3 linked regions of the Notamacropus eugenii genome follow. The protein of the gene in region 1 interacts with the protein of each later gene in a pairwise test. Links are inferred from orthologs where the notes say so. Each region holds a gene or a part of one and is shown in the gene's direction. Other genes may lie near its edges.

Region 1 (9,607 bases):
CCAAATATATCCTGCATGTTCATGCTGGGGAGTAGGGGAGAGTTGTTATTTATATTTTTCTCTATGCCTGAATGCTATGTCCAATGTTACCCTATTGAAAAACTGCTATTTTTTTTAAGCCCAATTCAAATGTCACTTCCCTCACAAAACCTTGTCACTAATAGCTTTCCCTCCCATGGCTTTCACAAAGTTCTTTGATTTGCAACTCCTTAATGTACCACTTCAGTGCTGTAAATGACCCATGATCTCATTAATGTGGATATTGCCTCCAACACTGCAAAACAAAACCCATCTGTGCTTGCCCATTCTGTGTGGCTGTTGTCCCACGTTCTCCCATAAGTCTGCCACAAGAGAGTTAAAGTTCTGGGATTCTTTCCTGGGTTCTCTTAATATGGCAAGGATACTAGTGATGAATTCAGACTCCTACCATGTGACTAACATTTTCTTTCAACATACGTTTCTTTAACCCCCCCCCCCCCACACACAATTATAAACTCCACCTAGGCAGGGACCATATCATATCTAAATTTGGTATCACTGCCCAACAAAGCGCTCTATGAACAGCTGGAGTTTAATACATGTTGGTTAACTGCTTGAATACTTCCACTCTAAAGATAAGGAAACTGAGGCTCACAGGTTGCCACAGCTACAAGGCTAGTTAAATAGTGGATTTGGGACTCCAAAGTCATTGTGCTTTCCCTGTACTACCAATAAGATGAAGAATATAAAATGTCTTAAAGTTATACCTACTAGAGGGAACTTTACAGCAATTATATATTGTCTTAACATTTTATAGATGAAGCAGAGACCAAAAAATGACTTGCATATGTTCCCATGGTGAATTAATGGCAAAGCTGGCACTGTAACCCAGGTTTCCTGAGGTCAGTCCCACTTCCCAACTTGAAACTACCTCTTTAGTTGCCAGTAAGGACAGCTGGTGTCACAGTGGATAGAATGTTGCTCCTGGAGTCAGGAAGACCTGAGTTCCAATTCGGTCTCAGATGTTTATTAGCTGTGTGACCCTGGAAAAATCACAATCTGTCTGACTCAATTTCCTAATCTGTAAAATGGGAGTAATAGCACTTACCTCTCAAGATTATGAGAATCAAATGAAATATTTGTAAAGCCTTTTCAAACCTATAAAGCATTATAGAAATGCTAGTTATTAATAGTAGTAATAGAAAAATTCCATGGAAGAAATTAGGACAGTGGGGGACCCTAGTTTGGATTCGGCCAAAGTGCAGTACTTGAGGATTTATGTGACCTTGAGGCCGAAGGTTCCCCACCCCTGAGTTGGTACTTTTCTGCCACTGCTTTGCTGTGCTTTTTAACTTTTTATGTATCTGTCTTGCTTCTCCCTCTAAATTATCAAGTAGTTTTCAATTGAATAAACACTTTTGTATGTATTCACTCCTGCTCCCAGAACATTGCTATACACAGAACAGGCACAATAATTAAGTAAATGCCTAGCTGGCTTCATCTGGAGGTATTTTATTACTCATTAACACTTCTAAAGAGGAGTCAGTTCACAGAATCATAGATCTAGAGCTAGAAGTGAACCACATCATCTAATTCAATCCCTTCAGAGAATTGAGGAGCAGAGGAGTTAAATGACTTGGGCAAGGTCACAAGGGATAGTGACAGAGACTGGATTTGAATTCAAGCCCCCAGGACTTCTTGAGAAAAATGAGATTTTTTTATTTCTGAACCAAGCAAAAAGATTTCTTTCAGCCTAAGTCTAACTACTTCCTTACTCGCAAACTTCCAGCAACACATTGTAGTCTCTGGGGTGAAATAAAATTTCTCAACCTAGTATTTAGGGCATTCCACAATCTAATTTCAACTTCAATCAACAAACATGTATGCTAATGAGCTAGGGATGCAAAGACAAAGTTGAAACAGTCTCTGCCCCAAGAAGCTTATATTCTACTTAGGAGATAACTAGAACATACACTGGTATAAACCAGACATGTACAAAACAGACACAAAGTAACCCTGGAAGAAAAGGTACCAGCAGCTGGGGAGGACCAGGAAAGGCCTCCTGAAGAAGACGGTGCTCCAGTTGAGTCTTGAAAGGAACCAGGGACTCCCAAAAGACAGAAGTGAGGAGGGAGAGCATGCCAGCCATGGGAAACAGCCAGTACAAAAGTATGGAAATAGGAAGTCATAGAAAGTAAAAAAGGGCCAGGATCTAGTGACATTTAAATGCTAAACAGAGCAGTTTCTATTTGATCAGAAAGGTAATTTAGTGTTTATCAAGTAGGGGCATAGTCAGATTTATGCTTTAGAAAAATAATTTTAGTTGCTTTGTGGAGAATGGTTGGAGTGGGGGGAAATTTAGGACAGAGAATAATTGGTTCAAGCTATTGCATTTTTTCAGGCAAAAGGTCAAATAGGGTAGTTGCTGTGTGAATGAAAAGAAGGGAGACATAGTAAAGAAATGCGGCAACAGAAACAATAAAATTTGGCAACTTTTCAGCCTTGTTCTTTATTACTTCCCCTTCACTCTGGTCCAGTTGGACTACCTGATGTTACCTATCTAAACACTGCACATAATACCACAAACATGCACTCCCTATTGACTTCTCTTCTTTCAAGGTTTACTCCAAGTGTCTCCTCTTTGAAGTCTTCCCTAAACCTTAATGTAATGAATGAATATTCTCTTCCTCCTCAACCTCCCACCTGCTTACATATTCTGCGTGAAGAATATGTAACCACTGAGGCAGTTAGGTGAAGTGGTGGAGTACTGGATTTGGAGTCAGATAGAACTGATTTCAATAATCAATGAACTCCCTCCTGACTTATTTCTTTGAATCCTCATCTTCTTTCAAGGCTTATACCATGTGTCTCCAGAAAGAACTGAATTCAAATCCTGTCTCAAACACTTACTAGCTGGGTGAACTTTAGGTAAGTTATTTTTCTAAGCCTGTCTCCTCACTGCAAACTGGAAATAAGCACACCTTATACTTCACACAGATGTGTTGAGGATCAAATGATATGACATACAAAGTACTTTACAAACTTTAAGCTAGGTGGCTCAATGGATAGAGCTAAAATGTGAAATCTGAGTTCAGATTTAGCCTCATGCACTTACTAGTCGTGTAACCCTGGGCAAGTAGTTAAACTACAACAATAGCACCTACCTCCTAGGGCTCCAGTGGGGATCAAATGAGATGCTACTTGAAAACCACCTAGCACAGTGCTTGACCCGTAGGATGCTCTCAATAAATGCTTGTTTCCCTTCCTTTCTACATGATATATCTTCAGTAGAAAGTAAACTCCTTGAAGACAGGAACACAGTAGGTGCTTAATAAATGGTTACTGCAATAAAGTTGGAGGACTACTTAGTTTAAAATACATATGCATTTCATTTAGCTGGGGCAAAACGATGAAATTGCTTGTTTCTAGGTTTGGCCCATGCTAATTTCTGTATTTCTTCTGGTTGCGTGATGCCACTCAAACTGAGAAGTTTTAAAATTTACAGTCAGTAGTGTGTATGTGAGTAACACACACACACACATATATATATATATATATATGTGTGTGTGTGTGTGTAATAGTATCCCGAAAGTTCAAAGTATTTTGGGACACTTAGTTTAGTATATATTATGAATTTAGCACAAAAACTGTATTTGTATACATATATGTACGTGTACATATATATATAAAATATACATACATATGTGTATATACATATACAATGACACACACATACACATGAATCGATATATCACCTATCTATGTAATAAAAGTTACCTATGTAATATTTAGTTCCTTGCCAACACAAACATGAATTTCTTATCCCATCTGCTTCCTCACAACTGGAAGTCTAAAGCCTTAATTCAAACAGAGAACTCTGTGGGGCAAGGCAGAGTATGTGATTGCTGGGTGTGTCACCATCATGCCCAGGACACTAGCTTACTCTCCATTGCTCTTTCCCTATATTCCCTGAAGGTCTTACATGGAATTTTTCCTTTGAGCACTCAAAGGGTACTACGGGCAGCCTCTTGGATTTATATCCACTCCAGCCTTTTATCTCTCCCTACCTCCTCTTGGGGGTTGTGGTTTCTCTCCCTTCTTTCCCTTCATTGTGACCCCCTTATTGGTCATTTCACTCAATCATAGTTATACTTAGCGTGTGCTTGTTTAATCTCCTGGTTTGGTTTGTGTCTTCTCACCCACAGTAACTTTTAGGATACCCACCCTGACCTTGATGACCCCGAGTGTCTTGCCTCTCTCCTCCCTGGACTCAGTTGGCACTGCATTCTGCATCCCACGTTGATCACCTGCCCCCCCAACCTATTCTGGCCCCTGAAGTGGACTCTTTGCCCCTGTTCAGCAGGAAGCAGCTACTGAAGACAACGACCTTCACCCCTTTTCCCCTGAAAGAATTCTCCTACCTAGTGGTAGAGTGGGGAAATGAGGTAGATAGAACAGTGCCCTAAGAGTTAAAATAATATTGACTTTGTGAAACCCTGGGTGCCCTAAAGTGTCCCCTTACCACAACTTCCCCTTATCCTGGACCATATAATTCCTTATCCCCACCCCTCATCCGGGGGAATGGGATTTCCTTATCGTGTCATTCATAGTCCTCACCTGGTGCTTTTATCTTGCAAGACCTCCCCTAGACCTACAGCCCCTACAAGGAAACCCTAAAATCATCCTATTTAAGTCTGGTCCTCTTCCTATACCATTGCCTTTATTTAGCTCCTTGCTAAGTCTTAGGCCCGCTGCTTCTGCATCAAATAAAGCTCCCAATGACTACAGAGAAGGTCTAAGCTAATTCATTCACATTTTGAGCCAGCTGTCCCGTGTCTCTTCAACTACTCCAAGCTCCCTACCCCTCGCCAGAGCCTCGTCTGTCACAGGCTAGCACTGTGAAGGTGACGGGGGAAGAAGCCTTCACACCCCCACGGTTCGGGCCTCAGTTTCCTCCTCTGTAAACAAGGGCTGTAGGACCACAGGATTTCTACGGCCCTTCCCCTGCGGGCTCCAAAGCCTAAGATCCTGAAAGGTTAAGGACCCACCTGGCCTGCCTGGACCCAGCTCAGTCAAACGACCGAGAAGAGCCCCTGGCGCTAGACCCCGTCCAAAAGGTCCTCCCGTAAACCCAAAGAGGATGCAGGCTCCAGGAACGCGACCAGCAGGGGCCCGGAAGAGCCGAGTGGACGGGGCGGGGCCGCCCCGCGAGGGTCACGTGGGAGATTACGCCAAGGGAAGGGCTCTTCGCGGACCCGCTCCCTCCTTCCCCCCTCCCACTTGCTTCTCACAAGACTCGGATCTCCAGCGTTTGATTGGTCAGCGTCGGGAGCACGTGGGCGGGGCGCGGCGGAGCGGGTTGGGCTAGGGCGTGGGGGTGGGGATGGGGACAGAACTGGGGCGGGGGGCGGGGGGAGGTGCCGGAGGGGGGTGGTTCGACTCGGGGCCGTTGGCTCCAGACAAATAAACATGGAGTCCATCTTCCACGAGAAAGTAAGTGTCCGAGGATCGCTAGGGCGTTCTTCCTGCCTTGGGCGGTGCGGGAGGTGAAGGGAGTCCTGGGTTCTCCAGAAAGCCAAGGCGGCCTCTCTTGCTGCCTCCACCCTCCCGTCGGGGCCTACCTAGCGTGGGGAGGGGGCACCCAGCGTGGGCAGCTGCTTCCTTCCGAGGGCACCCACTCATTCGCCTGCCCAAGGACCCTCCTCACCGACCTTCGGCCGCCGGGCTCCGAGGAGTCCGGGAAGGACCGGCGGGGCGTGGGTCAGAAGCTTCGGGGAGGGGCGGAAGAAGGGACTTGGAAGGGGATGGGGTCGTGTTCGTGGATGCCTTGGGCCCTGGATGTGGTAGCGTGCATTGGATCAGCTCTTCCCTAGCTAGCTATTGTTTGCTGTGATGATCTTTATTACAATTCCGCTTTTCCTCCCCGCTCCAAGCTCCAGTGTCCGCTGCTGGCAGGATGGGAGATCCCCAGACCTCCACCTCCCCACCTTGTAGGGTGGGTAAGTAGGCTGAGAAGCCTCGTCCAGAAAGCCCTCCCTCTCCTGCACTGAACTAATTCTTTAATTAGTTCAATACTTCAAGTCCTACCCATCTTTGAACTGGCAGAGCGATGTAGCAGAAAGACTCCTGGACTTCGGGGTCTGGAAGGCATTAGCTGTGTGGTCCTTTCAAAGCTGGTCACACCCCACTCCAACCCTAGTTTCATTGGGGATTTGTCTTCCCTTCCTTGAAGGCTTGCTTTTGAGGAAAGCATTTTTGAAAACTTGGTAGGTGCCATAAGATCCAATTCAAATACCACCTTCCCCCGACCTTTCCCTGAGCCCTCAGATGGCACTTTGTATTTTACTTCTTTGAGGTATTTATCGTGTAATGTTTTGTATCATCCCTATTTCTATTGATATTTCTTATCTCCTTGCTGTATTGCAAGCCTTCTAAGAGAAAAAAACACTAATTTCATTTTAAAAACTATTATCCCTGACAGTGTCCAGTGCAGAGTAGTTTTTTAGTCAATATTTGTATTATTGTATGTCATTAAAAGCCCCCAAGCCAGAAATCTTTTCTCCCCCCCCCTCCACTGAAATAATTAGCCCAGAAGAGGTTTTGGTGTGCGTGGTCTGGACCACACACATATTCATCTTTATAAGAAGTTAAGCTCAGCTTCAGTTTCTCATTAGATGAGTGCTACTCCTTAGCTGACATGAGATTGAACTGGGGCATCTCCAACCCTTAATTAGTTGCCCAAGACTTTTGTACATATGTTTGTTCCTGATTGTTTCTTCCTTTTGATTCTTAAATGACCACTTGAAAATAAGGGCAATTAAATGGTTGTGGTATGTGGAGAGACTTGTCTTCTCTCTTTATAATTATCAGGCCCATTGGGTGTGGGTGAAACTTTCCATAAACAGCTTTGGGCAAGTGTTGTTTTCTTATTTTATAGTAAATATCATTGTGTAGAAGGGAAAACTGGCAGGATTAGTTTGGAAAAGTGGAGTCTTTTATGTTATCCATTATATATTACTATGACATTATTTTGATGGCTCAGGTAGAGGGTCTTTTTTGTACTTTAAATGGTCAGTACTTTATTTAAACAATTTATTCACAGCTACCAAATAAAAATCCATCATAGTGGCATTATAATGGATTTGTTATAATAAGTCTGAAGTAGCTGATTTTTTAAAAAATAGAAAATTTTAGTTGGAAGATTTTTCAGAAAATTTTAAAGAAGATAATAGATTTTTCATTTTGATGATGTCAGTGGTATAGATAACCCTTGATTAGCATTATTGATTATTTGTTTTACTTGAAAAGGAAGTATAGTTGTCTGGCAGAGAGACATATAATGAGGCTTTATTTATGTATATTTCAATACTTCAAAAGATATATAATTCTATAATTATACATTCTCCTTCCATGATGTAGTTTGTGACCCTTCTACACATTGGTAGACTATTTGCTGAGTTTCTAAGATTCCAAAATTCACCAACATTCAGGTGCTGAGCCTCCCCAAACAGCTAAGCATTTCCTTGTTCAATAGACAGTCTGTTTCTTCTACTCAGAGTCTTTCTGGTTTTGTTGGTACCACAGGAAGAACTGAATTTGGTGCCAGAGCACCTGCGTTTGAATCTTGTTTCTGCCATTTAGTACTTACATGACTTTGAGAAAGTCATATAACCTCTTTGGGTCTCAGTTTCCTTATGTGTAAAATTAACAGATTGGAAAAGTTTACTTTCAAAATCCTTTCAAAATAAATTTATCATCCTCTGATCAGCCACTGCTTTCATTCAACTGATATAGTCTTCATGAATGGGGGGTTACCTCCATATCATGAGATAGTCATTGGTAATAGAACTTTATTGGCAGTTGCTTCTGTATAATACATCAGAAGTGTCAAATTCATGCTGGAAGGCTGCAGAATCAGATTTAAATGTAATTGAGAAAATTTAACAAAATGAATAAAAAGACAATACAACATAGATAATATTAATTTGTCACTATGCAGCTCCCAGAAATTGTTTCTGTTTGATTTCAATGCTATTGTAATACATGTCTTATATGTCTTTCTGAGTGCTTCATTTTAGAATACTTTAAATAATCTTTTACATGCTACTTCATGAAATTGCCAAATTACATTTTGGAAGGATGGAACCTGTAATTTCAGTGGTATAGGAAACTTCCTCTGCCAATGAAGATGGTCACCTCGTTTGCAATTTATGGTCTTCGAACATTGCTTGAGGAACTGAGAGATTAAGTGACTTCTCCAGGGTCACTGGTATTGTCAGAATGAGAACTTGAGTCCAAGTATGAGGTGACAAGGGCTTGTACCAATGTGTTGGCTGTGTCAGAGGAGAAAAGGGAGCATTTGTGAGAGACATGAGGGTAAGGATTTGAAGATGACACCTAGATTTTGAGCTTGGCTGTCTAAAGGACTTCCAGTTTTTGAGACCATACAATAGAAGATTAAAGACTCTAAGTCAAGGCAAAGGTTAGGTTTGGATAAGTAGATTTGAGAGGAGAGTATCAGAAGAAGAAAATGGGAGCAACATGGTGGCACAGTGAGTAGAGCACCAAAGAGGTTACTCAAAACCTATTTGTCTCCTGCATCTTCTCTGATAAGGAGCTTGCATTATATCTCCAAATAAATTGAGGCCATTAAACAAAAAAACTCCTTCATCTTCTCTTCATCTTACATCATTCTGCCATTTCTTCAACTATCTCCAGCTTCACTGTAGGATGAAGAGGGCCTCTCTCCTTGCCAAGAAAACCCTCTCTACATGTATGCATTCTTGATTCTAAACAGCAGATTGCCCCCTCTATCACTTCTATTTTCTCTCTAATCTTCAATCTCTTCTTATATATTCCTTCCCTGCAATCTACCTTTGTTTCTCCTATCCTCAAAAAATCCTTCACCTACCATCCTTGGGAAAGCCATCTATATTAGATGCCTCCACTTCATCTACTTTTGCTGTCTTCTAAACCCTTCACAGCCTCAATTATTTTCATTATTCAAATGAAATTACTTTCCCCAGTCAGAAATCATCTCTTTACTGTCAAAGCTAATGACCTTTTCTCAATCACTATCGTGCTTCCTTCATCCCTCTCTACGTACTTAGGCTGTTGATCATCAATTACTCCTGGTATCTGTAACTGTTCTCTCCTCTTTCCTTCCTACCTGTCTGATTACTCCTCAGACTTTTTTGCTGGTTCTTTATTCATTCCAAGACTCTGCCCTGAACAATTTTGTCTTCTCACTATGTTAACATGCTTGCTGATCTCATCAACTCTCATTTGCTCACTTATCTCTGTACAAATGATTCCCACATCTATATCCAGCTTTGTCTGTCTCCTGAGTTTCATTCCTGCATCACTAATTGTCTTTTGGACATCTTGAAATGAATTGGATGTCCTGTAAGCATCTCAAACTCAATATGGTCAAAAGTAATTCTTTTTCCCCAAACTCATTCCTTTTTCAAACTTTTCTAGATAAGGGCATCTCTGTTTTTCCAGTCACCCAGATTCATGGCTTCAACTCTTGACTCTTACTCATCCTCACAAATTTGATCTGTGGGTGAATTTTATTGTTCCTGTGTCCACAACATCTCTTTTCTATGTCCCCTTCTCTCTACTTACA
Region 2 (9,798 bases), on another chromosome or scaffold:
AGACAGAGTTAAAGTGACTTTCCCAGGATCATAGTTAGTGTCTGGGGCTCAATTTGAACTCATGTCTTCCTGATTCTAGGTCCAGTGGACTATCCATTGAATCATCTGGCTGTCTCATAAATTCATATTTGTCTATAAGGTCTGACAGTAGAGTTTATGGACTATATTTCTGGACTCTAACATTTTGTGTTGAAGATGGAAAATCTTGATTTCCTAGGAAGCATAATTCTAGAATCTAGTCTTCTAGCCCAAAGAGTTAGATTTCTTGGGTGGTACCAGTCAGCCTTGGGGATTTCTACAACAAACAGCAACCCTTAGATCAAATTCTGAATAGTGTGTCTATTGGAGAAAGAACTTCCATATGTTTCTGGCCATAGAAGCAGCAAGGAGATTTAAAGTCATGGCAGGCATACAACATGGTGGGTGTAAGAGATAGGAACCTTATTGCCTTCCCACTCCTCTCTATTACACATAACATAGGCCTAATGGGAAGAGGGTTACCTCTCCAGCAGGCCCTGAAGTGTGGTTTATGGGAGACCAAACCACAGGGGCACTATGTGTGTAGGACCCTGTTAGAGAGCTAAGGATTCACCAAATTATTATAGTGTTGCCTGTTAGCCATCCCTAATTCATTTCCCTTCTTAACTCTTTGAAATGAAACTTCTCTCTCCAAAGTCACTAATAATCTCTTGATTGCCAAATCTAACGGCCTTTTCTCAGTCCTCATCCTTCTTGACGTCTCTGAAGATTTTGACACCATAGGCCATATATTTCTTCCTAGGTTTTTGTGACATGGCTGTCTCTTGGTTCTTCTCCTATTTATGTGACTGCTCCTTCTCCTTTGCTGGATCTTAGCTCAGGTCACGCCTACTAACTGGGAATTCCCCAGTGCTCTGTCCTGTGCTCTCTTCTTTTCCTTATTTCACTGGGTGATTACATCAGTTCCCATGGATTCACTTATCATCTCTGTGTAGATGAATCTCAGATCTACTTGTTTAACCCAAACCTCTCTCCAGACCTTTAGTCATATATCTTCAACTGCCTATTAGACATCTCAAACTGGATGTCCCAAAGACAAATTTAGCTCAACATGTCTAAAACTGAAATTACCTTTCCCCTCAAAGTTTCCATTCTTCTGAACTTTCCCAGTATTATTCACCTAGCTAGGCTCACAATCTAGGTGTCATTTGCTTTTGCAACTTTTCTCATATAGTCCCCCTTCTTTCCTCTGACACTAACTACTACATCTTAGGTTAGGGACTCATCACTTCATGACTTGACTATCAGAATAGTTCCAAGTCTCTCCCCTCTCCAATCTGTTATCTACTCTGTGGACAAATTACTCTTTCTAAATAAATTGAAGGTCTGATCATATCATCCTCCCTCTTAATCCTCCCTACCCACTAAAACCAGTGACTTCCCATTATTTCCAGGATCAAATTAAAAAAAAAAATCCAGAAAACAAAAACAATTTTTTTTGCTTTTAAAGCTCTTTGTAACCTCTTCCCTTTCTACCTTTCCAGTTATCTTATATCTTACTCCTCTCCTCCTAGCCTGTGATCCAGGGACTCTTGGACTCCCAGCTGTTCTGACACATTAACACTGTCATCTCCCAACTCTGACTGGTTCCACTACTCTGTCATACCTGGAACACTGTTCCCTCCTCATCTGGCCTCTGCTTCTCTGGCTTCCTTCAGTCTCAGCTGCAACCTTCTGCAAAAAGCCTTTCCCTTCTCTCTGAGATGACTCAGTTTATCCTAGACCTATCTTGCATGTTGTCTCGCCCATTAGAATGTGAATTTCTGGGGAGCAGGGACTGTTTTTTTTTGTTGTTTTTTGTTGGCTTTCTTTGTAACCCCAGGGTTTAGCACAATGTCTGCTCATAGTAGGTGCCTAATAAATGCTGGTTGTCTGACTGCTGTCAACACCAATTTTGTTTCCTCCTGAGGGAAACTTCTTTGAATACTTTATGATGGACTCCTGTGAGTTCTCTGAAAGCTCCTGGGCTTGTCTGAGTCCTTAAGCAGCTATATGGCTCAGTCAGTAGAACATCATACTTGGAATCAGGAAGCCTCTTTATGAGTTCAAATCCAGTCTTAGATACTTATTAACTATATGATCCTGAGCAAGTCACTTAATCCTGTTTGTTTCAGTTTCCTCATCTGTAAGGAGAAGGAAATGGCGAACCACTCCATACCATATCTTTGCCAAGAAAGCCCAAAATGGGGTCACAAAGACTAGGACATGACCAAAATCACTCAACAACAAATGAGTCTTTAAGTCTTTTGCATTTTATGTTGGGTGAATAAAGGCTAATACCCAATGTGGATTTGGTTACCTTGAGTTTTTGTATAGGAACTGGGTACCCCAGTTCCCCACAAATATGGGCATTGGGAGTAAACTCTAGGTGGAGGTAACATCTCCTGAGCTCAGACCTGAACTGCATGAGCCCCAAGCTTGAGGGGTCCTGGGACATAGGTTCCAAATGGAAAAGACCTCTGGGAGCTTTTGTTCTTGTTCTCTGAAGAGGGGCTAGAAAAGAAAGAGGGTGTGGAATGGAAACAGCTTCTACCCGAAGAGGCTTGAGGCTCCTTAGGCCACTTGTTGACTTTTACTTTAAATTTCCTATTAGTAAATTCCTTACTCATTAGTAAATGATGAGTGACACCTTTGGGGCCATGCTGAGAAGGAAAGTAGATCCAGTAGAGGTTAGGATGGGGATAGGAGCTATTCTTATGTTAAGATTTTTAGAGAATTCATGCCTCTGAATTGGAATTCAGATTTGGAATTCAGAGTGTATACGGGCTGGGGAGCATGAAGAGATACAATTTATACAAGTTTTGAAAGCTTGTACAGGCTTAGCACCCTTTAGCATACACTCTAAACTTAGGGGACCAATCCTGTGTGTATGTTAACAGCCCCTAAGTGGTACCATGAATAGAACATCAGGAAGACCTGAGTTCAAATCCTATTTCAGGCACTAGCTTGTGTGAAACTGGCCGAGTTGTTTAGCCTCTGTCTCAGTTTCCTCACCTGTAAAGTAGGGATAATAACAACACCTATCTCCCAGGATTATTGTAAGGGTCAAAATGAGATAATACAAACTGCAAAGTGCTACATAAATGACAGCTACATATTACAAAAACAACCCTGAAAAGCAGCTGAACTGAGATCAATTATGATGACCTGTCCTGGTTTGGGAGAACAGATGAAGAAACGCTTCCCTCCTCTTGACAAAGAGGTGGGAGATTGTAGGTATAGAATGCTCAAGATGGAGTTGTTTTGTCACTCTGTTCTGCAGAACTATTTTCTTTTGCTACAAGGGAGAGGTGTATCAGGAAATGAATGTGGTATAAAAGGATGAAAGTCATCAGTAAAGTAAGAAATGAAAAGCAGACTAAGGGAGTAGTCAATAAGTACATTTAACTTAAGGTATTTAGTCTGGGAAGGAGAAGAAAAGTTTAGTCTGAATTTCTGAGGCAAGCCGTGGAGCTTTCTGGGGGTCCAAACTTAAGAGCATCACAATTTTTACCCAGACTTGGGGGAAAGAGAGAAAAAAGATTTCCATTAAAGAGGCAGTGAGGTGGCTCAAAGGATAGAGTGGTAGGCCTGACTTCAAACGTGGTGGCCTCAAACACTTACTAGCTGTGTGATCCTGGAAAAGTCACCTAACTTCTGTTTGCCTTAATCCACTGGAGAAGGAAATGGCAAACCATGCTAGGATATTTGCCATGAAAACCCCATGGTCCACCAGGTCATGAAGAGTCAGATATGACTGAATAACAACAATTCAATCCACAAATTTAAGAAAGAAGCTTCTGGTTCTCTGTGCTCTGCACATTATCACTAAGCCCCTCTAACTGAAGGTAGCTTCTTAATGTGTTCCCCTCATCTCTCTGCTTTCTACCTGGATATAAAAATTTCCCTTACCCTTCCTCTCTCTCTAGTTCTGAAATTTCATGGAATTCTCCATCTCCAGTTGCAGTCTTCAGACTGGGTGATATTTCCTGTCTTGTACTGGTATAAGAAGGGGTAGCTGGGAGGTAGGAGGAAGAAAATGCTTTACCATCATTCATACCACATTTGCCTGGTGATGTCCAGAAAAGGGGTGTTACACTTGACAATGAAGTCCTATACATGCTTTAGGACAGACTTGTTTTGAAACAAGTAAAATATTATTTAATTTTGCTTACACATTGAAAACTCAAGACAGTGGATTGAGGTAAGGAGGAAGCTCCCTCCACCCTTTAATATCTCCTTTCTAAGGAGAATAAGTGGGGAGGGGGAGAGAGTTGCAGTATCTCTCTATACACCCTCCTCCCTCCTCTGGCACTGACCCCATCCAGGTGCCAGGATGCGCCCTCATCCCCTCACATCTGGGTTACTGCAATAACCTGCTTGTTCTCCCTGGTCTCCCCCCCCCCCCCCATCCATCTTTCTTTCACTCCACTAGAGAAGTGTTCTTCCTAAAGCGAAGGTCTGACCATGTCACCACCCTCCCCCCCTTTAATAAATTATCTGTGGGAGCAAACAGAAAAGTCTCCGTCTGGCTGTTAAAGCCCCTCATTCTAACCCGGCCCCTTCCAGTCTTCTTGCAGCTTTCTCTCCTCCAGGTACCCTACGTTGGCCCTGTCTGCCCTCCACGCCCCCAGCGCTCTCCTTTCTCACACCCCTCAGTGACTTCTTTCCGAGATCCTCTCCAATTTGTCCCGATTATCTGAGTGTCAGCTCCACCCTTTGGCCTTTCTTTGTATTCTCAACACCCAGCAGAGCGCCTGGCACATAGGCTTGGCACCTTTTCGGGATGCTTCCTGTGCCCTCTCTGTTTCCTTATCTGCACATTTTCCAATGACATTCAGCAACTTTTATGAAGTCCCTACTGTGTGCCAGGCACCGTGCTGCCTCTACGGAAAGGGTGCGTGTGGAAGATGATCTACACGTCCCTCTGTCCGTCTGGTCACTTATCGTACTTGAGTTCTGTGAGGGCTGGTCACGTGTCATTTTCTTCTCTGACTCCCCAGAGTCGTGCACATAGTAGGTGCCTAATAGGTGCTGAACGACAAAACGCCAGGGGAAGGAATTCGTACTAATTTGGGTGGCACAAGAGAAGTGGGAGAGAAACCCAAATAGGATTATTGCTTCAGCAAACGTTATCCACCTTCGTGGGCATTTCCGGCTTCAAGTTCAAGGCGGGCGCCAGGAGCGCTTAGAGCCCAGGCAGGTTTAGACCTGAGCCCCACGTTAGCGCGGGGCGGTTGGTGATTTGAATAGACCAATGGGAAGGGCGGCTCAGGAGCGGCCCACCCTCAGCCAATCCCCTGCAAGAGGCTCGAGACTATGAGCCAATAAGGAGGAGCGGAAGGCGGGGCCGTGGGCGGGAGGGGAGGCTGAGGTTGATTACAAAGATGGCGACCGAGTCGAACAGTGACGGGGAGGTGCAATATCGGGGACAGAAGAGACGGTGAGTGAGGTTCTTGAGACCGCTCCCCCGGTGCCCCGATCGTGGGTGGACGCTGCTGCCGCCAGCAGCCCGGTGGCGGCGCCAGCGGAGGGTTTTCTTTCTCCCTCCGATCTAAATCTGCAGAGGCGCGCGGCGCGTCCATAGTAACGCCGGCTCGCCGGGGCTGTGGGTGGGTAGCGGCCAGGTCACGTGGCCCCAGGCTCGCGCTGAGCCCTCTGCGCATGCGTCCTGTGTCACCCGCGCCCCCCACCCCCCCCCTCGGACCGCTCCTCTGTCTCCCAGGCTGACCTTCCTCTCTTCTCCCACGACGTCTCCCGTGATGATCTCTGTGGCTCCCGTGGATTTCCAGAGCCTGCCCTACTCCCCCGGGAGCTCCGGCCTCGGGCACCAGCTGCCTGCGGGCCGCTTCCGACCCGACGTTGTGAGGCGTGTGTCCTAAACAGAGCTCAACATCTTGGGAGCCCGCCTCCCCACAGCGCCACCCCCCTCCCCCAGGCTCGCCAAGTGGGGTGCTCCCCCCGGGACCCAGGCTGTCCCCGTGCTGCTGTCGCCCCACACGGACCCCCCAATCACCGCACCCGCCTTGCCTCGGGGGGAGGCAGTGGCTTTGCCAGGAAGACCCCGAGTGGGGTATGGAGGAGTCAGTCACGCACGTGTCTGCTGCGGAGGGCTGCGAACTCAGTGACACGGGCATGCACCTACACACGAGCGCATACATGCACACATGCACGCACACGCACATGCACACGTGTCGAAACTCACACGTGTGTCAAAACTCACATGCATGTTGAAACTCGCACACGTGTGCACACGCACACGTGTGTCCACATGCACGTCCACACGCACACCCACAGAAACGCACATGGATGCACACACATACATGCACGTGCACAGAAACGCACATGGACGCACACGCATACACGCACACGTGCACACAGTTACAGCACATGTGCTGAAACGCACACGTGTGTCGAAAGGCACGTGCGTGTCCACGGGTACACACGTGTTGAAAGGCACACGTGTGTCCATGCGCACACGTGTGTCCACATGCACGTCCACACGCACACCCACAGAAACGCACATGGATGCACACACATACATGCACGTGCACAGAAACGCACATGGATGCACACGCATACACGCACACGTGCACACAGTTACAGCACATGTGCTGAAACGCACACGTGTGTCGAAAGGCATGTGCGTGTCCACGGGTACACACGTGTTGAAAGGCACACGTGTGTCCATGCGCACACGTGTGTCCACACGCAGATGTCCACATGCACGCACGTGTCCACATGTACACACACGTGCATGCGCAGAGAAATGCACATGGACGTGCACACATACATGGGCACGCACACAGCTACAGCACACATGTGTTGAAACGCACACATGTGTTGAAACGCACACACGTGTCGAGAGGTGCATGTGTGGCAGAAGGTGCACACGTGTCAGAAGGCACATGCGTTTCCACGTGCACACGCATGTCTGGAAAGAACTTCCCTGTCTATTATTGCTTCCTGCATTTTGTTATTATGTAGAAATGCTGTTGATTTTGTAGGATTTACTTGATAGCCTGCAACTTTGCTGAAGTTATTGTCTCAATTAGTATCCTTGAAGATTTCCTAGGATTTTCCAAGTAAACTATCCATATATCATCAGCAAAGATAATTTTAACTCCTTTCTACCTATACATATCTAATGTATATCCGTACTATGTTGTAAGGTTCCAAAGGGTGGTGAGATTTAGAAAGGGAAACATTGATTAAGTGTTTATTCCTGGACATTATGGTTTCTTTAAGAGCAGGTCATGCCAAACTTATCAAATATCCTTTTTAGGAAATTTTTTAGTTAGCTTCTTAGCTTTTTACTTAGTTTCTGTTCTTAGGAAGCTTTTTCTTATTTCAAATCTAAATCTGTCTCTCTGAAACTTATGCCCACTGTTTCTAGTTTCAGGACTATGTAGGACAATTCTGTCTGTCTTCCATATGACAGTCCTTCATTTGTTGAAAACAAGTGGCATGTTTCCCATACATCTTGTCTTCTCTGGGCCAAACATCTTTAGTTCATTCGGCTGCTCCTTATATAGTTTTATTTAAGGTCTTTCCTTCCTAGTTGTCCCTTTTTTGGGCACTCTCTGTAAATGTCCTTCCTAGAATGTGCTTAGAACTTGTCAGTATTCTGGTGTGTTCTGGCTAGGATAGGGTGAAATGGAATCATCATCAGGGAGGTATGTATGCATGTGTATATGTATGGTGACTACCAGATTCCACTGTTTATTTATTGCGTTTTCTTAAAGTATTTCTAAGGCTTTCATACACAGGAATTGGACTTGGGCTTTCATGTACAGGAACCTGACTTGTTCTGTCTGCACCAGTGAACAGAAATGGAAGCAACTGATAGCAATTGACTTTAGGCAGATTTGGGTTTGATGTAGGTAAGAACTTCTTAACCCATTTAACATTTTCTGGAGGTGGTAGTGGGCTTACCATCACAATAGATCTTTAAGATATGGAAGATGAACACTCTACACAGATGATGGAGGGGAGATTCCTCTTTTAATACTGGTTGCAATAGATTTTCTCTAAGACCTTTCCACATAGGAGATTCTGTGGTAGAAAAAAGGGAAAGTACCCTGGCATGATTTCCCTGAGAAAGAAAAGGTATTGAGAGGGGCCGGTTAGTTTCTCACCCTGGCCACCAGGTGGGGTAAGTAACCCAGAACTACTTGTTGATAAGGCTGTTATAAAATAGTCCAAGTTTTGGAGTCTGTATTAGTATGGGATGGAGGTAAACTGCTGTCTGTAACTTGGAAAGTTCCTGCATCTGTGTATACCTAGAGAACGCAGAACTACTTTCTGGCAAGACGGAAAGATTTATGCAAACCTATTGACAATTATTCATCATTCACCTCCAGAGTGGATAATACTTCACTGTGTGCCATGAATGAATTCAGGGAAGATTTTTTGCTTCCTCTTTATTATGGAATGCATCTGGGAGATATTTATCTTGCAGTGAGTGAACTCCAGCCAGCAATTTTAGATTCTGGCACAGGGTAGTGACACATTCAGGCAAATTTGGTTTTATTTCCAAAATGTTGTAGAAAAGCTTTCTTTTTGCAGGGTGGGTAGATGATTGGGTGATAAGAGACTTTAATTGTTCTTACAGATGTTTTACTTAAACTCTGCCAAGACACAAAGATAAATAATGTGATTAGAATTAGTGGGGTAAGCTAGGAATTTTCTGCATCAGTCAAGTACACTGTGTGCTATGCAGTTAGGCCATCTAGCTATTGCTTTGGTTGTGCCTTCACGAATATCCTGAAAAACTGAACATGTTTTTGTGGTTGTTGTTAGGAAAGTGCTTCAATCTAGGTCTTTTTAGGGCTCTTAAATAGGTATAACATCAAAATTCAATTAGAAATGGTTAGTGCTACCATATAGGCACCTGGAGTTTGGAAAAATGATTCTGTTTGGTTAAAGTATCCTTTCCTAGGCAGTATATATTTTAGGAATATATAGCTATATGTTCTAGGTTGCCTTGGTTTAGGTTCTCGTTACCTCTCACTCTACTCTTGTAATAACCTCCTTTGTAACTGATCTCCTTTCTTTCAAGTCTTTCCCCACTTTATCCTTCTCATAGTTGCCAAGGTGATTTTCCTAAAGCCTGGTTCTGTCCATGTCAGTTCCCTACTTGGTAAATTCCAGTCCCTGTTATTTCTGGATCAAAAAAAACTTCTCTTTTTGGTGGTTTGAGGCTTTTATAACCTGATCCCAAGCTACCTTTTCAGTCTTGTTACACATTACTCTCCATCACACATTCTCTCTTCTAGTCTAACTGGCCTTCGTACTTTTCTTCATACACAATAGTCTATCCATCTCCTGTCTTGCTCTACCTTTGAATTAGTTGTCCCTCACATCTGGAATGCACTGCTTCCTCATCTCACCCTTGCAGAAACCCTAGTTTCCTTCAAGGCTCATTTCAAGTGATGCCTTCTATATGAAACCTTTTTTAGTCTACTCAGTTACCCCCATTTTCTTGTATCAATTTTGTGTATGTTGTGTGTATGTATATGTGTGCAGTCTGGGCTAGAAAGTACATTCCTCAAAGGCAAGAACTGTTCCACTTTTGTCTTTGTCCCCAGGGCCTAGAACCATGCCTCCTGAATAGCTGAAGCTTAATAAATGTTTGTTGATTGGTTGATTGACAGCATCCTGTAGAACTCTAGTATTCTATGAAATGGGAATAGTGGTTCTTAGACAATTTCAATGCTCAAGAGCCACCGACAGGGAATCCTTTTCATTTTAACAAAAAAGTCTTCCAAGGTATTGGGG
Region 3 (10,247 bases), on another chromosome or scaffold:
GTTTTGTTGGTCGGGTCGCCGATTGGCCGAGATGCACCGGTCTAGCCAGCGGATGGACCTGCAATGGTCCCTCTGATTACAGCCTCTCCTTTGGCCTTCAGGGGCACGGGACAGAGGACCAGAACCCTCCACAGGTGTGGGGACACCAGTAATGTCTCTGCTGCTAGTCAGTCAACAAATACTCGATGAAATCAATCAACAAGTATTTATTAAGTGCCTACTAGGTACCATGCTAAGTTCTGAGGCCACAAAGACAAATGCAAAAAGTGCTGGCCCTCCAAGGGCTTATGTTCTAATAGGGTAGACAGTACATATAGAAGCAAATATATACAGGAAACATACGAAAAGAATACAAAGTAACAAATGAGGGGACCAGGTAAAGGCTTCATGGAGAAAGATTCGCTTGAGTTGAGTCCTGAAAGAAACCAGGGAGCGAGAGGGAGGAAGGAAACCATTCCAGGCATGGGGGACGACCAGACCAAAAGCATCAGTCTGGGAAGAGGGAGCATCTCAGGTGAGCAAAAGCAAGGAAACAAGTGGAAGAATAAGAAAGGAAAGTAGAGACCAGCTCATGAAGACCTTTAAATGCCAGAAAGAGGAGTTTACAGAGTTAAGAGAGAGAGAGAGGAGGGTCAGAACTACCCTTTGGGAAACTGCCTCGGAAAACGTAGAGAGCATGGAACCGCAGAAGGGGAAAACCTGAGGCAGGAAGACCAGCTAGATGAGGTCTGAACAAGGGGGGCATCTCTCCAATTCCCTCAGCTGGCAAGCTCGGTGCCTTCCTTTATTCTCCCTCACCCCACCCATCCAATCTGTTGCTAAATCTTCTTTCAATTCTCACATAATATGTCCCCTTCTGTCATCTCAGATGCCACCTTGGTAAATGGTAACTGAGAAGGAGCAGTTAGTGGGGGAGAGGAGAATCAGGAGAGAACAGGGTCAGGAAAATCCTGAGAGAAGAGGGTGGTCTGTGGGATCAAAGGCTGTGATGAGGTCAAGGAGCTAGAAGGAGGAGGGGGGAGAGAGAGAACCACAGCTTAGATGATGAGAATTCACATTTCTATAGTCCATGAAGATTTGCAAACCGCTGACCTGTGCATGGCTTCCTCCACTCGAGAACCCGTCAGAGTGCTGCTGACCACATCATCCAGCTGCATCATAATATCTGAGCCTGGAAAGAAGGGGAAGGGAGAGGGAAAGTCAGAGAATCTCTACTGTTGGGAGGATGGTTGGGGATGGATGCAATCAGGACAACCCTCTTCTTAAAACACGGTAAGATCTAGAAAAAAAACAACCCAGAAATCAGCCAGAAAGGAGGAAAACAAATAAGCCAGCTTTCTGATGCCTTCTCAAGTCTCTGCTCTTCCCTGAAAGTGATTTTATCCTTCTCAACTTCTCATATACTGTGTCAATATTTTCCCACCCTACCTTATATCATATGTATCTACATATCATACCTCTCAGTAAGCTCCTGGAAGGCAGAAATTGTACTCTTTTTTTTTTTTTGACCTTATGTGCCTAGAGTTTAGCCCTGTGATTAATAAAAATTTTTGAGTGTCTTACAAATAAATACATTTACATGGGCAGGGGTGGAATAAGATTTGATACAGCTCCACTATGTGCCAGGCACATATCATCCCATCTGTTCCTCATAACAACCCTTCAAGGTAGGTGCTATTATATTACCTCCATTATACAACTGAGGCAAACCGAGGGTAAGTGACTTACCCAGGGTCACACAGCTAGTGTCTGAGCTGGGATTTGTACTCAATTCTTGCTGATTCCAGGCCCAGTACTCTATACACTGCCACCTAGCTTGAAGACTTACAAAGCTCTTCACTTTGGAAGGGCCCATTAAGTAAATAATGAAAGAACTGTATTCTCCACTTTACAGATCAGCTAACCAGAGAGGAGAAATGACAACCACAGTCACAGTCAGAGCTGAGATTTGAACTAGGGTATCTACTTTCAAATTCTTCCCCCTACAAACTACCTTCTGCTCCCCAGTCCCCCTACTCCCATCCCAAGTCAGCTTCCTGGGAAGAAAGGCCAGAAGCTCTAGTCTCTAGCTCCTCTTCACCATCCAGGGCTCACCCAGTGCATTCTGAATCTCCACAGACTTCTCTGGGCTCAGCAGGATCTCGGCTCCATCATATGGGGAACGGAATCGCACTCCTTCCTCGGTCACCTCAGACAGGGCCAGCAGGGACACCATTTGGAAGCCACCACTGTCCTGTGGATGACATTCCCTATTGACCTCAGGTCCTCAATAAGGATCTGCCACTGTCCCATTGAGAAAATAAGTTGACAGATCTAGAAACTGGGAGATGATCAAAGCCAAACCCCTCATTTTACTGGTTGGGGGGTGAAGGGACACAGGACACTGAGCAACAGAAAGTGTGTGCCCTGTTGAAGGCCATCTAATCCTCAATCCAGGGGTTCTTTCCACCTCACTGTTCTCAGCCCCTGGAACAATGACAGCAATTCCTATTTCTAGAGCGCTTTAAAGTTTACAAAATGCTTCTCCAAGACAACCCAGGGAAGCAGATAATTCAAAGATAATTTTTTCCTGTTTTTATATTATAAAGTGAAACTTTAAGAGGCTCAAACAGGGAGTCAGGAGCCCATTCAGGCTTCCTCTCTAAGTTTGGGGCCCTTTCCATTAAAACACACTGCTTTTCCCAGTGTCCCACCTCCCTACCACCAAGGGTTCCAGACCCACCGTGAGCAGGTTTTGGTTCCAGTTCATAAAGCCATGCAGCCCACCGGCCTTCTGTATGAGCTCTGGACCCTGGGAGAGAAGATTCAGTCACTACAAGTGAGAGACCAGGACAGAGGTTCCTATACTGTTACAGAAAAAGCACGGGAGTGGGGAATCTGCAACCTTGAGGCCATGTGTGGCCTTCTAGGTCCTTGGGTGTGGCCTTTGGACTGAGTCCAAGATTTATAGAACAAATGCTTTTATTAAGGGGATTTGTTCTGTGAGGTTTGGATTCAGTCAAAGGGCCTACAGGGGCACATGTGGCCTTGCAACTGAAGGTTCCCCACCCCTGGGTGAGCCTGATCTGGAGGTTGCCCACCTCAGCCATTCCCATCTTTGGGTCCAAAAGTAGGGAGCCCTTGATCCCTCACAGGCCTTAGAGATGAGAGGATTTAAAAGGAAGATTTAAAATTAGAGATTAAGACAATTTAAAAATAATACAGTCTAACCCCCATGTTTAACCACCAGGGAAACTAAGGCTCAATGCAGGGAAAGGTACCAAAGGCTTCAGATTAAAACCCAGGTGCCCTGACTTTTTTGACTCCACTAATAAGAATTTGTTGTTGTTCAGTGGTATCTGTCTCTTTCCAATACTATTTGGAGCTTTCATGGCAGAGATACTGGAGTGGTTTGCCATTTCCTTTTCTAACTCATTTTACAGATGAGGAAACTGAGACAAAAAGGGCTAAATGATCCTTCAGGGTTACACAGCTAGTAAGTGTCTGAGGCTGGATTTAAACTTATTTCTTTCTGACTCCAGGCCAGATACTATCCACTGCCCCACACAGCTACTGCCTAGTATTCAGCTGGGGGTTAAGTAGAAAGAATGCCTGCCCCGGAATCAAGGAAACTCGTCTTCTTGAGTTCAAATTCTGCTTCTGACACTAGCTGCGTGACCCTGGGCAAGTCACTTAACCATGTTTGCCTCAGTTTCCTCATCTGTAAAAGGAACTAGAGAAAAAAACAGCAAACTATTGCAGCATCTCTGCCAAGAAGATCCCAGAGGAGGTGGGGAAGAGTCGACACGACTGAACATTGCTAAAACATTCATTACATAGCGCCTTAAGATCTGCAAAGTGCTTCCCCATGATACTGTCATCCACATTTTACCCTTCGGTAAAGAGGAACCCGTGGCATGCAAAAGTGAGGGGACTTGCCCACATCTGCACCCGATCTTGAATGCGGGCCTTCCCCACTCGAGGGCCAGCGGTCAGCATCTCCCCCAGCTCGCTGCCGCCTCCGGGGGGGTCCCGGCGCAGCGGCCCAGCGCCCTTCCCCACTGCGGGCCAGAGGTCAGCGCCTCCACCAGCAGCGCACTCACCGGCCTCATGCCCAGGTGGTACGTGTTGCCCAGACAGATGCGGCAGCCCAGGCTATCCAGCTGCGCTGCAGTGACTCCCTTCATGGTCCCTTGCGTCCCCACCGGCATAAAGACCGGGGTGGCCACGGTGCCGTGCGGCAGGTGCAGCTCGCACGCCCGCGCCTTGCTGCGGCCGCACGCGGCCACCACCCGCAGGGCCAGGGCTGCCGGGGCCCGGGTCCCTGGGCCCGCAGCAGAAGCAGCTACTGCGGCAGTCGATTCTGGACACCTCGTGGACGGAGGCTCCCCGGAAGCCGCCATATTACTACCTGGTCACGTGGCAAGCGGAGCAGGCGGAAGGCGTCTCGGAGCCATGGCAACGGGCTTCCCGGCGGTCAGAGAAGGGCCCGCTTTTTTTTTTTTTTTTTGAGGCACCAGAACTGGAGTCGGCAAATTAATACACTTAAAATGCCTGGAACATCGTTGTCTGAATTCTGAAAATGACGTGGCCCTGATTTATTCTCCGACTCCGCCCTTCCTGAGAATCCCATCCTGGGTCAAATGGGGAAGTCGGCTAGGACAGCCTGTTTTACATAGCTCGGTGACGTCACGGAGGCGCGCTGTGCTGGGAGTTGTAGTTTTCCGCAGTGACAAGCTGCCTGCCGCCTTAGAAAAGGAGGCTGGAACGTGAGGAACATGGTCGTTAGAAGCCATAAATCCGGAGATTCTTAGGTAAAAGGCATCCATAGATAGGATTCTAGAATGTAGCATTAAGCACGCACAGCCTGATTGTCCTGGGAATCGATGGGTTCCTTTTCACTGCTGCTGTTAGCCAAAGACTGGATAGCCATTCAGTTGATAAATATTACATATGCAGGCAAACCGCAGGGGATACAATTACGAAAAAGACCTGCCCTCAAGGAGCTTATAATCTAAGGGAGGGTGGACAATGAAAAGGGGAGGAGTTGTGAAGAAATCCAAAAGACAGCTGCTTGGTTGGAAATTAAGAGATATCTGGCCTGGGAACCCTCTATGGAGGTTTTGGGAGGAGCTCTCCACCCACCTTCCATTCAGAGGGGTCCCAGAGGCAGAGGGGTGAGGACCAACGCTTAACTGATCTTGCAAGACGATAAGGTTGCTGGGGCCACGACGTCCAAAGCAGTGCAGCAGGGTGAAAAATGACCACCTCCCAAAAACCAGGGATCCTTGGGGTATGGAGTTGAACCGTATAGCTTTATCTTCATCCGTTCTAATCGGAAGATTTCTTTTGTCATAATTACTAATTAAGCAGCATTGGGAGGAAATCTTGATTCCCTCCAGCAGGGGACGCTGATTTTCTCAGAGAGCTCTTCTAAATCTAGAAGTGATCGTTGTTTCGAGGAGTCTGAGCGTTAACAAATAAGAGCTAACGCTAAATTGATCGACAGATGCATTTCTCAATCACAGACAAAATTTAGCCAGAAAGCACCGCCCCGTTTCTTGCTCTAGTTAACAGATAGTATGACAGCTTTTCTGGCCAATGGAATAACTGAAGGAATCGGGCTACTGTGACGTATTACCCAATCACATTTGATTTGGTGGGTGGAGTCCGCTAACATCACTGGTTTGCTAATCCGACAGACAGGTAGTCTCACCAATGAGAATGCGAAGATGTCTTAAAATAGGCGGGACTAGCATGCAATTTCCGGAAACGCCGCCCCCGGCGTTGACAACCAGGTTCCACGGCCTATTGGGTCTCGGGAAGAGTGACAGTTCCTTTATCCAATGAATTCTCGAGAAAGGAAAAGGGGCTTAGGACATTTTCGTCCATAACCATCATCCGTAAGCCCGTACCTCTATTCCATTGGCTTTTGATCGAGAGTGACAGGAGTCGGGGCCAGTAGGCAGTGGTTTGAAGGGTTTGGGGCGAAGCCTCGGCTGGGAGGGCCAGCCCCGGTTGCGTAAGGGGCGGGAGGTCGCTTGGGTCGGGTGTCGCCTGAGAACCGGATGAGGCGGCGACTGTGAGTCGAAGTTTGGAGTCGGGAGTTGGGCTGAGTCCCGGGGGAGCAACCGCCGGCGCGCGGGGCAGGGTCGTTGGGAGGCTGGGGAGGTCTCGCGGGCCGCGAGGGGGGAGTCGCCGCCGCCGCCACCATGGGGAACCGGGGGATGGAGGAGCTGATCCCGCTGGTCAACAAGCTGCAGGACGCGTTCAGCTCCATCGGGCAGAGCTGCCACCTGGACCTGCCGCAGATCGCCGTGGTGGGCGGCCAGAGCGCCGGCAAGAGCTCGGTGCTCGAGAACTTCGTCGGCCGGTGAGTCTTGGGCAGGCTGCGCCGGCGGCGGAAGATGGGCGCTCCCCCTCCCCGCGGGCCCTGCTCGCTCCGCCCGGGCGCAAGCGGCTTGAGGAATGGGCCCTGGACGCGCCTGGCTGCGCCGCTTGCGTAAGCCTCGGGCAGAGCCGCGGGTGGAGGAGCGCCGCTGGCGGGTGCGCGTGGACGGCGTAGAGGGGGTCCGGGGATGGGCCCCGGCCTAGGCCCCCTCCCCCGGGGGGGTCATCCGGGGGTCACTCGGACCTCACGCGGTCTCCGACCTCTGACCCGGGGGGAGATCCACAGCGGCGAGCGTCGCCCTTCTCCCCCTGGGGAGGACTCCGTGTGCCCGCCCGGCAGGTGCCCGGCGGACGTCTGACAGCCCTCCTGGCCCCGAGCCGTTTAATGCCGGTCTGGAGCGGGGAAGGAGCGGGTCTCCGTAGTCGTACAGCTGGAGGACCTCTAGGTCATCAATCCTTTCATTTTACAGAGGAGGAAACCGAGGCCCAGGGCGGTGACGTGACGTGCCAAGGTCACTGTTGGCTTCCCTGGCATTATCAGGGTGTGTTTGTGCTGGGAGGGGGGTCTCCCAACCAATTGAAGTGCCTGGCGGGGAGGGGCGGGGGAACACCAGCCTGGTGCCTTTGTTGCCATTATCGCGTTAGGTTTGGCCGATGCTCTAGGGTTTATTATTCTTTGCAGACTGCCAGGCTTGATTAGAGTTAACTGCAGCCCCGGTTATCTCGGCTCTGGGCATTTGAGCTGTCGAGGGAAGGACAGCGCTGGGAGACTGGATCCAGGGATTCATAAGGGGACGTTGTGCCTTGTAGACCTGACAACTCCAGGTTCAGAACCATCTCAACCCCCTTTATCCATCAGAGATGACTGGTTGGTTCTCCCCTACTTTGCAGGATAGCTTTAGGAGATGATAAGCTTAGTGGGTCGAGACCAAGTTTCAAAGTGGACTTTCAATGTAGTTCAGTGGTAGCTAGTGGAGCAGCTACTCCCCTCCCCCCCCAATCCTTCCTTTCGCTTGTCAAAGAGAAGTTCGAAGTAAAGTGTCTTCTTTACTTCGAAAAGGGCTCTTGAGTCATGTTTAACTTCCTTATTCTGGGAGGGCAACCTGACTGTGGTCATGTGTGTCCTCTCCTTCATCCCTATTTAGCGGCATAGGCTCTTAGTGTGGCCAACACCTTCCTGGAGACCCACTCTTTGCATGTCTAGGTTTACAGAGAAACGTGTGCCAGCAGTCTAGAAACCCAAGTTAGATAGTTGATATTGTACCTTTAGATCTTTGCAGAACACTTTCAAACAGTCCCTGCTGAAAGTAACTAATTTACTCAAAGTGTTAGGGTTTTCTGTTTGTTTTTGTGATTATAAGCCTTTTCTGGCCTACAGTTTGACATTTGGTAAAATTTTGGGAGTCCTTTGTATTAGTAATAACAGTAGTTGCTTTATCTGTCATTTCATTTGATCCTCAAAGCAGCCTGTGGGATATGTACTGTTGTTCAGTAGTGTCCCACTTTTGGTGACCATATCACACCAGTGCTGTCCATGGAGTTTTCTTGGCAAAGATGCTGGAATGGTTTGTCATTTCCTTCTCCAGTGGTTTGAGGCAGAGGTTACAGTAATTTGCCCAGGGTCACACAAGACTGGATTTGAGCTCTGGTCTTTCTGCCTTCAGGCCCAGAACTTTATCCACCGAACTACCTAGCTGCCTTTGAAGTATATACTACAAACACTATATTAATTTATTTTAAAGAAGAGGAAATAGGCCCAAAAGTGGCTAGGCCATAAACAAAGTAGGATCTGAACCCAACTATCTCCAGTCTCAAATCCTGGAAACTTTTCATTATATTGTGCTGTTCCTTGACCATTAAAAGCATTCATGTAGCTGTCCTGCCTTTCTTCCCTGGAAAGCTCAACAATAAAACTGACTCAGGTTTGAAAACAGTTGAAATTTTAAAAATTCACAAGTACCCTACACTGCAGACAAATAATATTGAGAACTTTTAAAGAATTAACCAAGCCCTTCCGTCTTAGAAAAAAAACTGTACAGTCAAGCACAGTTGCAGGCAGGTGGTAGTTTTTCTTCCAGAATTTGTTTTAGTCCTGCCATAGTGACATTGTCACATTTAACTGGTGGTGTGTTTTTGAGGCGGTGACTGGAGGGTGACTGTGAATGGACTGACTTGGGTGATTTTCAAATTCCTTCACTAGATGGGAGGGGCAGGGCAGTATGTAGTTCTGATAAAAGAGGTTCTTTTCCTCTCCTTCCCAACCCAGTCTCTGTTAACTTCCTATCACTCAGTCCCATCTCCCTTGAGGGCTCCTTGCCTTAGTTGGGGTGAATGCATTAATTACACCAGGGTTCTCACTTTATTTCTTTATTATTAAAATAAAATGGCTAAGCTCTCAGGTTTGGTCATCTTCATATCCCCAGTCCTTTAAACACTACCTCATCAGTATCATTTATTTCCAAAGTCATCACCCAGATACAAGCTTTCATTCAGTTGTTGTTCTGTCTGGTCTGACTCTTGTTGACCCCATTTGGGGTTTTCTTGGCAAATGTGCTGAAGCGCTTTGCCATTTCCTTCCCCACTTTATTTTAGATGAGGAAACTGAGGCAAACAGGATTAAGTGACTTGCCCAGAGTTGTCTTCAAGATGAGTCTTCCTGACTTCAGGCCCAACACTTTATATCTGCTGTGTCACCTAACTACTCATATTTCTTCCAATACTACCTGCCTAGTTCTGACTTTTATTATAGCCTCCAATAGGTCTTCACCGCTATCCAGTCTTTGTTTTCCAATCAATTATTTACATGCTATGTCAAACTTCTCTTCATTATACATATGTCATAACCTCTGCCCAATAACCTCCATTGGTCTACTGGGCGGGGTTCACATTCCTTAGTGAGACATTCAAGGTCTTCAGTATATTTTGTTGATCTTTTCAACTTTAACCCTAAGTACTACTTACTCTCCTTGTCATCTATCATAGGAGCTAACTGGAAGGAACCTTGGAGATCATCTAGTCTAGTTCCCATGTATAGATCAGGAGACTGAAGCTCCTGAATGCCAAATCAAGGTCAGGGATTGGGAGATTTAAAGTCAGGTCCCCAGATGCCAGTGCCCTTTCCCCAGTACAGCCAAACCAGACTCAGTCTTATCCAACTCATATGCCTTTCCCTACATGCAGAATTCCCTTCCTGCCTTCCCCCACTTGGAATTCTCACCCATCCAGGTCAGATGTCATTCCAGGAATCCTTTCCTGATGCCCCCCACACCTCTTGAGTCTCAGTAATGATTTTGTTTGTACCTTTCTAATGCACTCAGCATGTATTATTTGTTTATCCCCAGATTGGGATGAAAGCTTATCTGTTCAAATCCTTGTGTTTTGTCTGTGAGACACTGAATATGGAGGCCTAGGTTTCCTCTTAACTCTGCTACTAAAGAGCTAGGTTACTTTAAGTAATTCACTAAACTTGTCGGTTCTCTCGTTGCAGTATCTGACATCTTCTCTAGATCTAACACAGCTCTCTGTATGTGTCAGTTCCCTCACATACACATACACACCCTACTTGAAGGCAAAGGCCAGTTCTCAAAATCAGTAACCAGCACAGTACAGGGATACTAACCATTTGATCAATTGAAATTGAATTGATTTTGCGACCATAAACTCTACCAAGCACAATTATTTTTTATTATAATTATTATTAAATAAAGTAATTTTTCTTTTAATGAAAAGCTTCTGCTCAATTGACCTCTTCCAGACTGACCACTCCTCACTTCTTTCTTCCTAGTTATTTGTGTATGTGTGGGGGCTGGGGTTCCACATAATCTTGCAGAATGGCAACTTATCAAGCATTTAGTAAGCACCTACTTCTTGGTAGGCCC

Evidence for each region.
Region 2: the proteins of ATXN3 (region 1) and ARHGAP19 interact in binary tests that used the Homo sapiens proteins (3 or more experiments, as listed by UniProt). The link is inferred for Notamacropus eugenii from reciprocal best matches to the Homo sapiens genes ATXN3 and ARHGAP19.
Region 3: the proteins of ATXN3 (region 1) and DNM2 interact in binary tests that used the Homo sapiens proteins (3 or more experiments, as listed by UniProt). The link is inferred for Notamacropus eugenii from reciprocal best matches to the Homo sapiens genes ATXN3 and DNM2.

Annotation. Positions count from the first base shown.
Region 1 is NC_092878.1:38,406,229-38,415,835, forward strand, and holds the start of ATXN3 (ataxin-3), read left to right. Parts: upstream 1-5,380; 5' UTR 5,381-5,448; coding exon 5,449-5,472; intron 5,473-9,607. UniProt on the Homo sapiens protein: Deubiquitinating enzyme involved in protein homeostasis maintenance, transcription, cytoskeleton regulation, myogenesis and degradation of misfolded chaperone substrates.
Region 2 is NC_092872.1:214,075,761-214,085,558, reverse strand, and holds the start of ARHGAP19 (rho GTPase-activating protein 19), read left to right. Parts: upstream 1-5,353; 5' UTR 5,354-5,405; coding exon 5,406-5,461; intron 5,462-9,798. UniProt on the Homo sapiens protein: GTPase activator for the Rho-type GTPases by converting them to an inactive GDP-bound state.
Region 3 is NC_092875.1:79,229,295-79,239,541, reverse strand, and holds the start of DNM2 (dynamin-2), read left to right. Parts: upstream 1-6,031; 5' UTR 6,032-6,191; coding exon 6,192-6,352; intron 6,353-6,634; exon of another isoform or gene 6,635-6,881; intron 6,882-10,247. Other genes in the region: QTRT1 (queuine tRNA-ribosyltransferase catalytic subunit 1), read right to left, coding at 1-58, 1,093-1,171, 2,095-2,233, 2,723-2,791, 4,083-4,382. UniProt on the Homo sapiens protein: Catalyzes the hydrolysis of GTP and utilizes this energy to mediate vesicle scission at plasma membrane during endocytosis and filament remodeling at many actin structures during organization of the actin cytoskeleton.